Ovis aries: one gene and its partner. The protein of the gene in region 1 interacts with the protein of each later gene in a pairwise test. Links are inferred from orthologs where the notes say so. Each region holds a gene or a part of one and is shown in the gene's direction. Other genes may lie near its edges.

Region 1 (3,749 bases):
AGCTTTTTTGCTCTTCTACATACACATACAATATGTCCTCCACACTTACTGCTTCTTTTCCACTCTCTTCTAATGTTCTATTTTCAGTGTTTCAGCATGCTGATTTGGGGTCGGGGTCAAATCACAAGAGGGTTACGTGCAGCCACAGAACTCGCTGCATGCAAACGCCTGGACGTCCCTTCTGTGGTCATTTGCAGCGTCCATACCTCATGGGCTTCCAACTCTAGCTTTGGCTAAGAATCCAGCCGGTGTCTGTTCCAGTGGTCAAAGCAAATCCTCAGCCAAAACAAAGAGCAGCCTGCAGAAAGGTGAGGGAGTAGGGTGTTTCGCAAGTGTTTACATTCCTGATGGAAGAAATACTTGGTTCAGACTTCAGAGAAGGGGTCTGGATATTGCGCGTTGCGTACCCTAACTTTGTGGTGGTGACAGCAGGTTGTAGGGCCAGGAGTGGGGGGTGGCTGGGGCCTCAGCCTCAGGAAGTAGGGGTTTGGCTGACACTGCACCACGAAGCGACTTAGCATCATCAGCAGCAGCACCACCACCACGCCTGATATTTTAAGGCTAGGCTTCTTTTACAGGCGCTTGGTGTAGCGGCAAGGCGTCATCTGAAGCGCCCAAATCCCAAGTGGGAGACGTTGTTGGGGGTGAGGTGGAGATGAGGCTTGTTTGTGGCTACTGGTGGGCGTTTACACCTTCCGATCCCCACCACTATAAAGCGGAGGAACCCAAGCAGCAAACGTTCGGGTCACACACACCTGCACTCTCAGTCACTGGTGGGTGGACCAGGCTCCACCTTCCTCCAGATTGGTCGACTTCCGTTAGCTTTCAAGTCAGGGTAGAAAGTAACTCACGGCTTCCCATTCTCCGGCTCGCTGGAGAGCCATGTTAGGTCGCGGGATGCAAACGTTACCATTGTCCCGAGACCGCGACACGATAACACGCCCTGCTTTCTTCTGCCGCCGCCACCTCCTCCAAACATATTATTTCAATGAATAAAAAGCCCCACAGCACAAATCGTTTCATTAGTGTAATGTGAGAAGTCTGCATTTAGGGGGTGAAATGCGAAGAAGAGGGACCAGGTGCCCTATTCCCCCGACCAATCCTCTAAACCAGCAAAGACTCAATACTGACTCCCACTATCCAAGGGGCCCCGCGGCGGGCGCCGGTTTTAAGTGATTTTTGGCCCCTCGCGGCCCCTGTAGCGTCCCTAGTTACCGGGCCCCTAGTAACCACCACCCTAAGCAAAGAGCAATCGGGCGCCTGCGGCCACGCCGGCTTCCCCGCCCCGGGCCAGCGCGGGCGCTCAGGCCTCGGCGGCGCGGTGATGGCTGCTTCGCACCGAGCGGCGAAGTTGGCGGCCAGAAGTCTCCAAACCCCGGTCAATCCCAACACCGGAGCGCGGGTCGCCCAGTACGAACGCAAAGACCCTTTGAATTCCCTGTCGGCGGCGGCGGCGGCCATGGAGGAAGAGGAGGAAGAAGAAGAAGAGAAAGAGGCGGCGGCACGGCTGGCGCGGGCGCCGGTAATGCAGGGGAGGGCAGTGGGGTGGGGCTGGGCGCCGGGTGCAATTGGAGGCTGATCGGCGACCCCCGGTGGTGAGGCGCGGGCTGGGAAATGCGAACCCTGTCCTGACCCGTACAGGTGAGCCTGGCCCACCAAGTCCTCTGGGTCCTCACGGAAAATGCTCGAAACCGAGGCGTTGAAAAGTCTTTTAACCAAAGAGGTTGTTGTAAAAATTTCTTGGAGGGCATTTACGTTACGCTATTTCTAATGAAAAGTACAGAAATTTATTCTTATGCTCCAGCAACTGTTGGGAGTAGGTATTTTCTTTTCTTTTCTTTTTTTTTCTTTTTCCTTTCAACTCGAGGAAAACTGTGCTGTCCTACAGAGAATAATCCAAAAAACGCAAGTGAATCAGCTGTGTTGTCAGGTGTGTTTTGTTGTCACTTCAATGTCTTGGTTATTAGTGCGTCTTAATACAATACATGAGAGATGATGGTTAAAACCAGCAGGAGTTTAGTGGGGAGATCAGAAACAGAGTTAAGCCTCCAGAGAAGCAAATTACTGAGGCTCCAGTGTTGCCACACGGCTCTTCAGAGTGAGGAGAAACAGCTTTTTCACAGATCGATTTTCAGTGTCGAGTGTTTTGTGAACACCTGTCTGCCAGGTAGGGGGCCAAGTCTGCCATCTGCTCTATTCCCTTAAAAGATGAGAACTTTGAATTTTAACCAGCAATCTGCAGGTATAAACCTTCTTAACCCCAGGTAAAGATTCTTTTGTTATTTTTAATATTTATTTATTTGGCTGTGCTGAGACTCAGTTGCCTCCATGCAACCTTTGTGTGGATTCTTTAGTTGTGGCATGCAGAATCTACTTCCCTGACCAGGGATGGAACCCAAGGCCCTTGCATTGGGAGTGCAGAGTCTTAACCAGCAGAGAAGTCCCCCCAAATTCTTAATACTGTTTGCTCAAAGCATCTTAGGTTAAAAACATGTAGTCTAGTGAAAGTCACTCAGTCATGTCCAACTCTTTGCAACCCCCATGGACTATACAGTCCATGGAATTCTCCAGGCCAGAATACTGGAGTGGACAGCCTTTCCCTTCTCCAGGGGATCTTGTGGTCTAAGGCTATTAGAAATCACTGGATATTTTGGAATTCTAATTTCTTTAATCTGCACTAGAAATGGTAATGAGAAAATCTGTAGTAACACCTTTTATGGGCAGTATTTTACCAACAGATAAACTGCTTGAGGTTATCCAGAGTAAAGCAGATTCAAAGACCCTGAACTTCAACCAGAATGAGTGACCTACAACCAAATTCATTCATGATAAAGCTTCAAATTTCAATACCCAATGAAGGAGGTGGACTGATGTTGAAAAATGATTTGAATGAAGAGAAGAATTTGGAGTCCTGGGTTAGGATCTGTTCATTTGCTAGTTAATATTAAGATGTAACTTCTTTCAGTTTGTTTCCTTATCTATAAAAGAGCTCTAAAATAACTGTCTTTCTTTTCTCACTGGGGTATTATGAGAACGAAATAAGAGCATATGTCATAGCTAAAAGACAGTTTGTATAAATTAGTAATAATAATAACAGCTGCCAGTGGGGCTGTTATTTGAACACCTATCCAAAAGAGAACAGGAGATTAAGTTCTCTTCTGGCTTGCTGTAGTGGAAAAGTCAGTCATTTCTGTGGTTGCAAGTATACTTCCAGAGTACCCTGTAAAATTGCAAATTTGTATTAGAAATATTACCTTAGGAGAGATCAGTTTATCTAATAAGCTAGTTTCTAAGGGACAGTGTCTCACTAAAAAAGAAAAAAGGAAGCTAAGTTTAACGCTATTCTGAGACCACAGTACTTAAAGGAACCAAAAGGAAATCTGGATCAGCTGCCACTGTAGTAGTGGTAAAGAACCCCCTGCCTGCCAGTGCAAGAGATGTAAGAGACGTGGATTTGATCCCTGAGTCAGGAAGATCCCTTGAAGAAGGGAATGGAACCCATTCCAGTATCCTCGCCAGGAAAATCCCATGGACAGAGGAGCCTGGCAGGCTACAGTCCATAGGGTCGAAGAGTCTGACACGACTGAAGTGACTTAGCGTGCAGCACATAGCAGTAGACCTGATGGAGACACTGGGGTGGGCAGACAAAGCACTGGAAAGGCAAGAAAGAAAGTGCAGCAGACAAGCTTTACCTTCCTCACAGTTTGGCTTGATATCTCACCTTGATTTTTAAACGCTAGTTTCTCTCA
Region 2 (3,649 bases), on another chromosome or scaffold:
GCAGAGCCTGGAGCGTGACAAGGTGCAGCTAGAGCTGGACTGGCAGCGCCGCTGTGAAGGTGTTGAGCGGGAGCAGTACCAGCAGGCCGAGGACCTGATTCAGGGCCTGACCGCGGCCAGAGATCAGGTCTGCACTCCCCTGGGCTGTCTGACTTCTTTCTGCAGAAGGAAGGGCCGGGTATGTCCACTGCAGCATGGAGCTGGCTTGGGCCCTCACCAAGTTATCCTTTGCACTTGAAGGCACTTGGCCTCACTGAGCAGTTTGGTTTATATCAGCAGGACTTGCAATGATGAGTCCCTGCCCACAGCCTGTCTCTAATGGCCAGGCAGCTGCCTCTGGAGCTGGATGCATAGGTGGCCCCAGCATTTGCTGGGCTCCTCTGGCTCTGACGGCCACATATTTCCTAGGGTTTCTCACCCTCGTGTCTGCCCTCTGCTTCCCAGCAGGGTAGGGAGCTGGTCTGGACCTTGAAAGTGGCACCGCTCCCTTCTGATCCTCCCAAGATGAACTGAGTCTGCATTTTCCCCAGGTTGTTGCCAAGCTCCAGGAGACGGAGCGGCGGCTGTGTGACCGAGAGGTGGTGCTGAAGGCCGTGACCCGAGAGAGAGACCAGGCCCTGCAGGCTCTGCGGACACATGGGCTACTCCCTGAGGAGGAGGCGCAGGTGAGGGGCCGCCCTCCTCCTGAGTCTCCCTTGCAGCTCTTCCTCCCAGGCTCCTTGGAGATACCCGCTACCCCCACCAGAGGGGAAGCACGCCAACCAGAATCAGCACTGGAGGTAGATCTTTGCAGCCATGTTTCTTTTAAGATGACTGTTCACACCAGGTGAGACCAAAGCTCAACCAGCTAATGGGAATCTGCACTCAATCTTCTTTGTGTCTTTAGTATCTGAAATATCAAAAAACCTCAAATTCAGATATTGTACCATGGCAGACGGTAACACAGAGAACCAAAAGGTCAGAGCTTTATCCCAAAACACGCTTCTACACATGTGGTGACTGAACCATTCGATATGTAACGATGGCCGTTCCTCTCAAAAAGCACAGACTCCCGTGCTGCTGTGTGCCAGCCAGAGCCTGACACTGGCTATGGGACGACCCCAAGGTGAATGGTGGCCCCGAAAGGCGTATTCTAGTCCTGGTGCCTCAGGGTGCAACCTTCCTTGGAAATAGGGTCTTTATGGATGTGATTAGTTAAGATGGATGATTAATTAAGATCACATGAGAGCATCCCAGCAGGCATACTAGGCTTGATGCCCTAGGGGTCAAGCTCCCGAAGGTGTGTCTGTTAACAAACCTCTGGGAAGATTCACACTCAGCCAGTGGTCAGGCTTGGGAGCACTGGTGTTCCCAGGAGGAAAGGGGGGGCCAACCCTAGTCTCCAGGGTCACCTATGGTCCTGGGGACTCATCGCTGGTGGTTTTTGCATGGGTACCTTCTCTAGGTAGAAAACAAATGCTTCTTTTTTGTTGTTTTTATTAATAAGCCTCCCTACCCAAATTTTTCTTTTTTGTATTTTACCGCCAGGCTGACAATTAAAAGAAGACATTTGTCTCCAAGCACCAGCTCCGCTGGTCAGGGAGGCCTGTCAGTACCTAGTTGCCTTGTTAAGTGAACAGGAACCTTAGAAATGGCTGAGGGGTCAGAAACAAGTGCCGCATGCAGAGTCGGGGGGATGTGCACCTCTGTTCTGTACAGGGGGCCCTGGAGGCAACATGAGGGGGCGTGGCAGAGCAGCACCTCGGGCACCAGTGAAGGTGAGCTGGCCTGGTGGTCTTAACACAGAGATGTGGCCTCCTTACCAAGCAGGGACCTGGGGTGGTGGAGGATGCTGTGCAAGTTTCTGTTGACCCAGAGGAGTGAAGTCTGGAATCCTCTAGATAATAGCAAAACACCTGCGTCCCCCCTTCAGGGCCTTAATACTGTGACCAGGTTAAGGGTGTGGCCGGGTAAGGCGGCGGATGTCGGCTGGCAGGCGGCGGTTGGTGCTGAGTTCTGTAGAGGTGGGCCCTTGGCAGACACTAAGTAGGAGCAGCAGGGGCGTCTGTCGTGCACTGAAGCCGAGACAGAGGCTGCTCAGGGAGGAAGACATGGCGCTTCCTGGGAAGCGCTGAGCCCACCACTGATTGCACTGCACAGACAGGCAGCCTCTTGGCTGTGGCCACAGCTTCCTCTTTGCTTGGCACTAGTTTCGATGATGGCGCATCGGCAGGGCCGGAGTGATCACCCCACAGAGACCAAGGCACCACCGCCAGGCAGGCTGCTAGGGTAAATGCAGCCACAGCCACAGGGACAGAAGATTCACCTTGGGAATGGGCTGCACTGCAACTTTGAGGTGGATCCTGTTGTTCAGGACAAGGAAGCTGAGGCCCTAAGAGGGGTAGTCCCTTCCCCACAGGTGGCAGAGGGGGAATGTGAGCAGTGCTGGCCAGTTGGCACAGCCCTGACCACTCTACTGTCTGCCTGAGCAGGTGCAGCCTAAGGCTTTGCCTCAGAGAAGGTGGCGAACAGCCCAGTGGGCACAAAGAGGGAGGTTGGATGTTTGCAGGAGGAGTAGTAAGGCAATAGCAACCCACTCCGGTACTCTTGCCTGGCAAATCCCATGGACGGAAGAGCCTGGAAGGCTGCAGTCCTTGGGGTCGCTAGGAGTCAGACACGACTGAGTGACTTCACTTTCACTTTTCAGTTTGATGCATTGGAGAAGGAAATGGCAACCCACTCCAGTGTTCTTGCCTGGAGAATCCCAGGGACGGGGGAGCCTGGTGGGCTGCCATCTATGGGGTCACACAGAGTCGGACACGACTGAAGCTACTTAGCAGCAGTGGGGCCAGAGCAGTGGCTGGAAGGAGGCAGGCAGGTGCATAGCGGAGCCAGAGGTGGCTTGAAAAGCTGGGGACTAGCGGTAACAGAAGAAATAGCTTCACTTTGGAAACAAAAGTAATATATACCACTGCAGAAATTTTACATTAGTTCACCCTAGTGCTCTCTGGAATAAAGCTGACCCAATGTTCACCCCAGCTCAACTCCATGGCCGGACCTCTCGGCGTGGTATCTTAGTGGGAAGTCTTCTAGGTTTCATTGGTTCTTATGAGAAGTTGGCAGTTTCTTTTATTTGTCCTTCCGCAGGAATGTAATGTGCCCTTTTTCCTCTGGTGGTTTTTAAGAGATTTCCTTCATCCCTGTTTTTAAACAGTTTGACCATGATGTGCTCTTTGGTGTGACTTTCTTTGTGTTTATCTTACTTTGGGTTTGTTGAACTTCTTGGATCTGTGGACTCAGGTTTTCATCAAATTTGAAATTTTTTTGCCAACGCGTTCTGCATCCTTCTGCACCCCCTCATTGATCTGGGTTCGTGTATGTCTGCTTCCCATTGTTCTGCAGTCGTTAGGCTCTGCTGTTACTTGTTCTTTTGTCTTCCACTCTGTTCTTGAGCTTGAAGGCTTTCTACTGCTCTGTGTTTATGTTCACTTAGCCTTTCCTCCTGTAGTATCTTATCTGCTCTTAATCCCATCCTATCCAGTGAATTTTTCCTTCAGACAATGTATTTTTCATCTCTGTAGATGCTATTTTGTTCTTTTTGATATCTTCCATTTCTGTTTTTTCATATTTTTCTTTAAATCCTGGCATATATTTATGCAAACTGCTTTTA

What was found.
Region 2: the proteins of FAM161A (region 1) and CCDC57 interact in binary tests that used the Homo sapiens proteins (3 or more experiments, as listed by UniProt). The two-hybrid records come from large-scale screens. The link is inferred for Ovis aries from reciprocal best matches to the Homo sapiens genes FAM161A and CCDC57.

The regions. Positions count from the first base shown.
Region 1 is NC_056056.1:46,300,999-46,304,747, forward strand, and holds the start of FAM161A (protein FAM161A), read left to right. Parts: upstream 1-1,239; 5' UTR 1,240-1,324; coding exon 1,325-1,522; exon of another isoform or gene 1,523-1,529; intron 1,530-3,749. UniProt on the Homo sapiens protein: Involved in ciliogenesis.
Region 2 is NC_056064.1:50,202,948-50,206,596, forward strand, and holds part of CCDC57 (coiled-coil domain-containing protein 57), read left to right. Parts: coding exon 1-127; intron 128-530; coding exon 531-665; intron 666-3,649. UniProt on the Homo sapiens protein: Pleiotropic regulator of centriole duplication, mitosis, and ciliogenesis. Critical interface between centrosome and microtubule-mediated cellular processes. Centriole duplication protein required for recruitment of CEP63, CEP152, and PLK4 to the centrosome.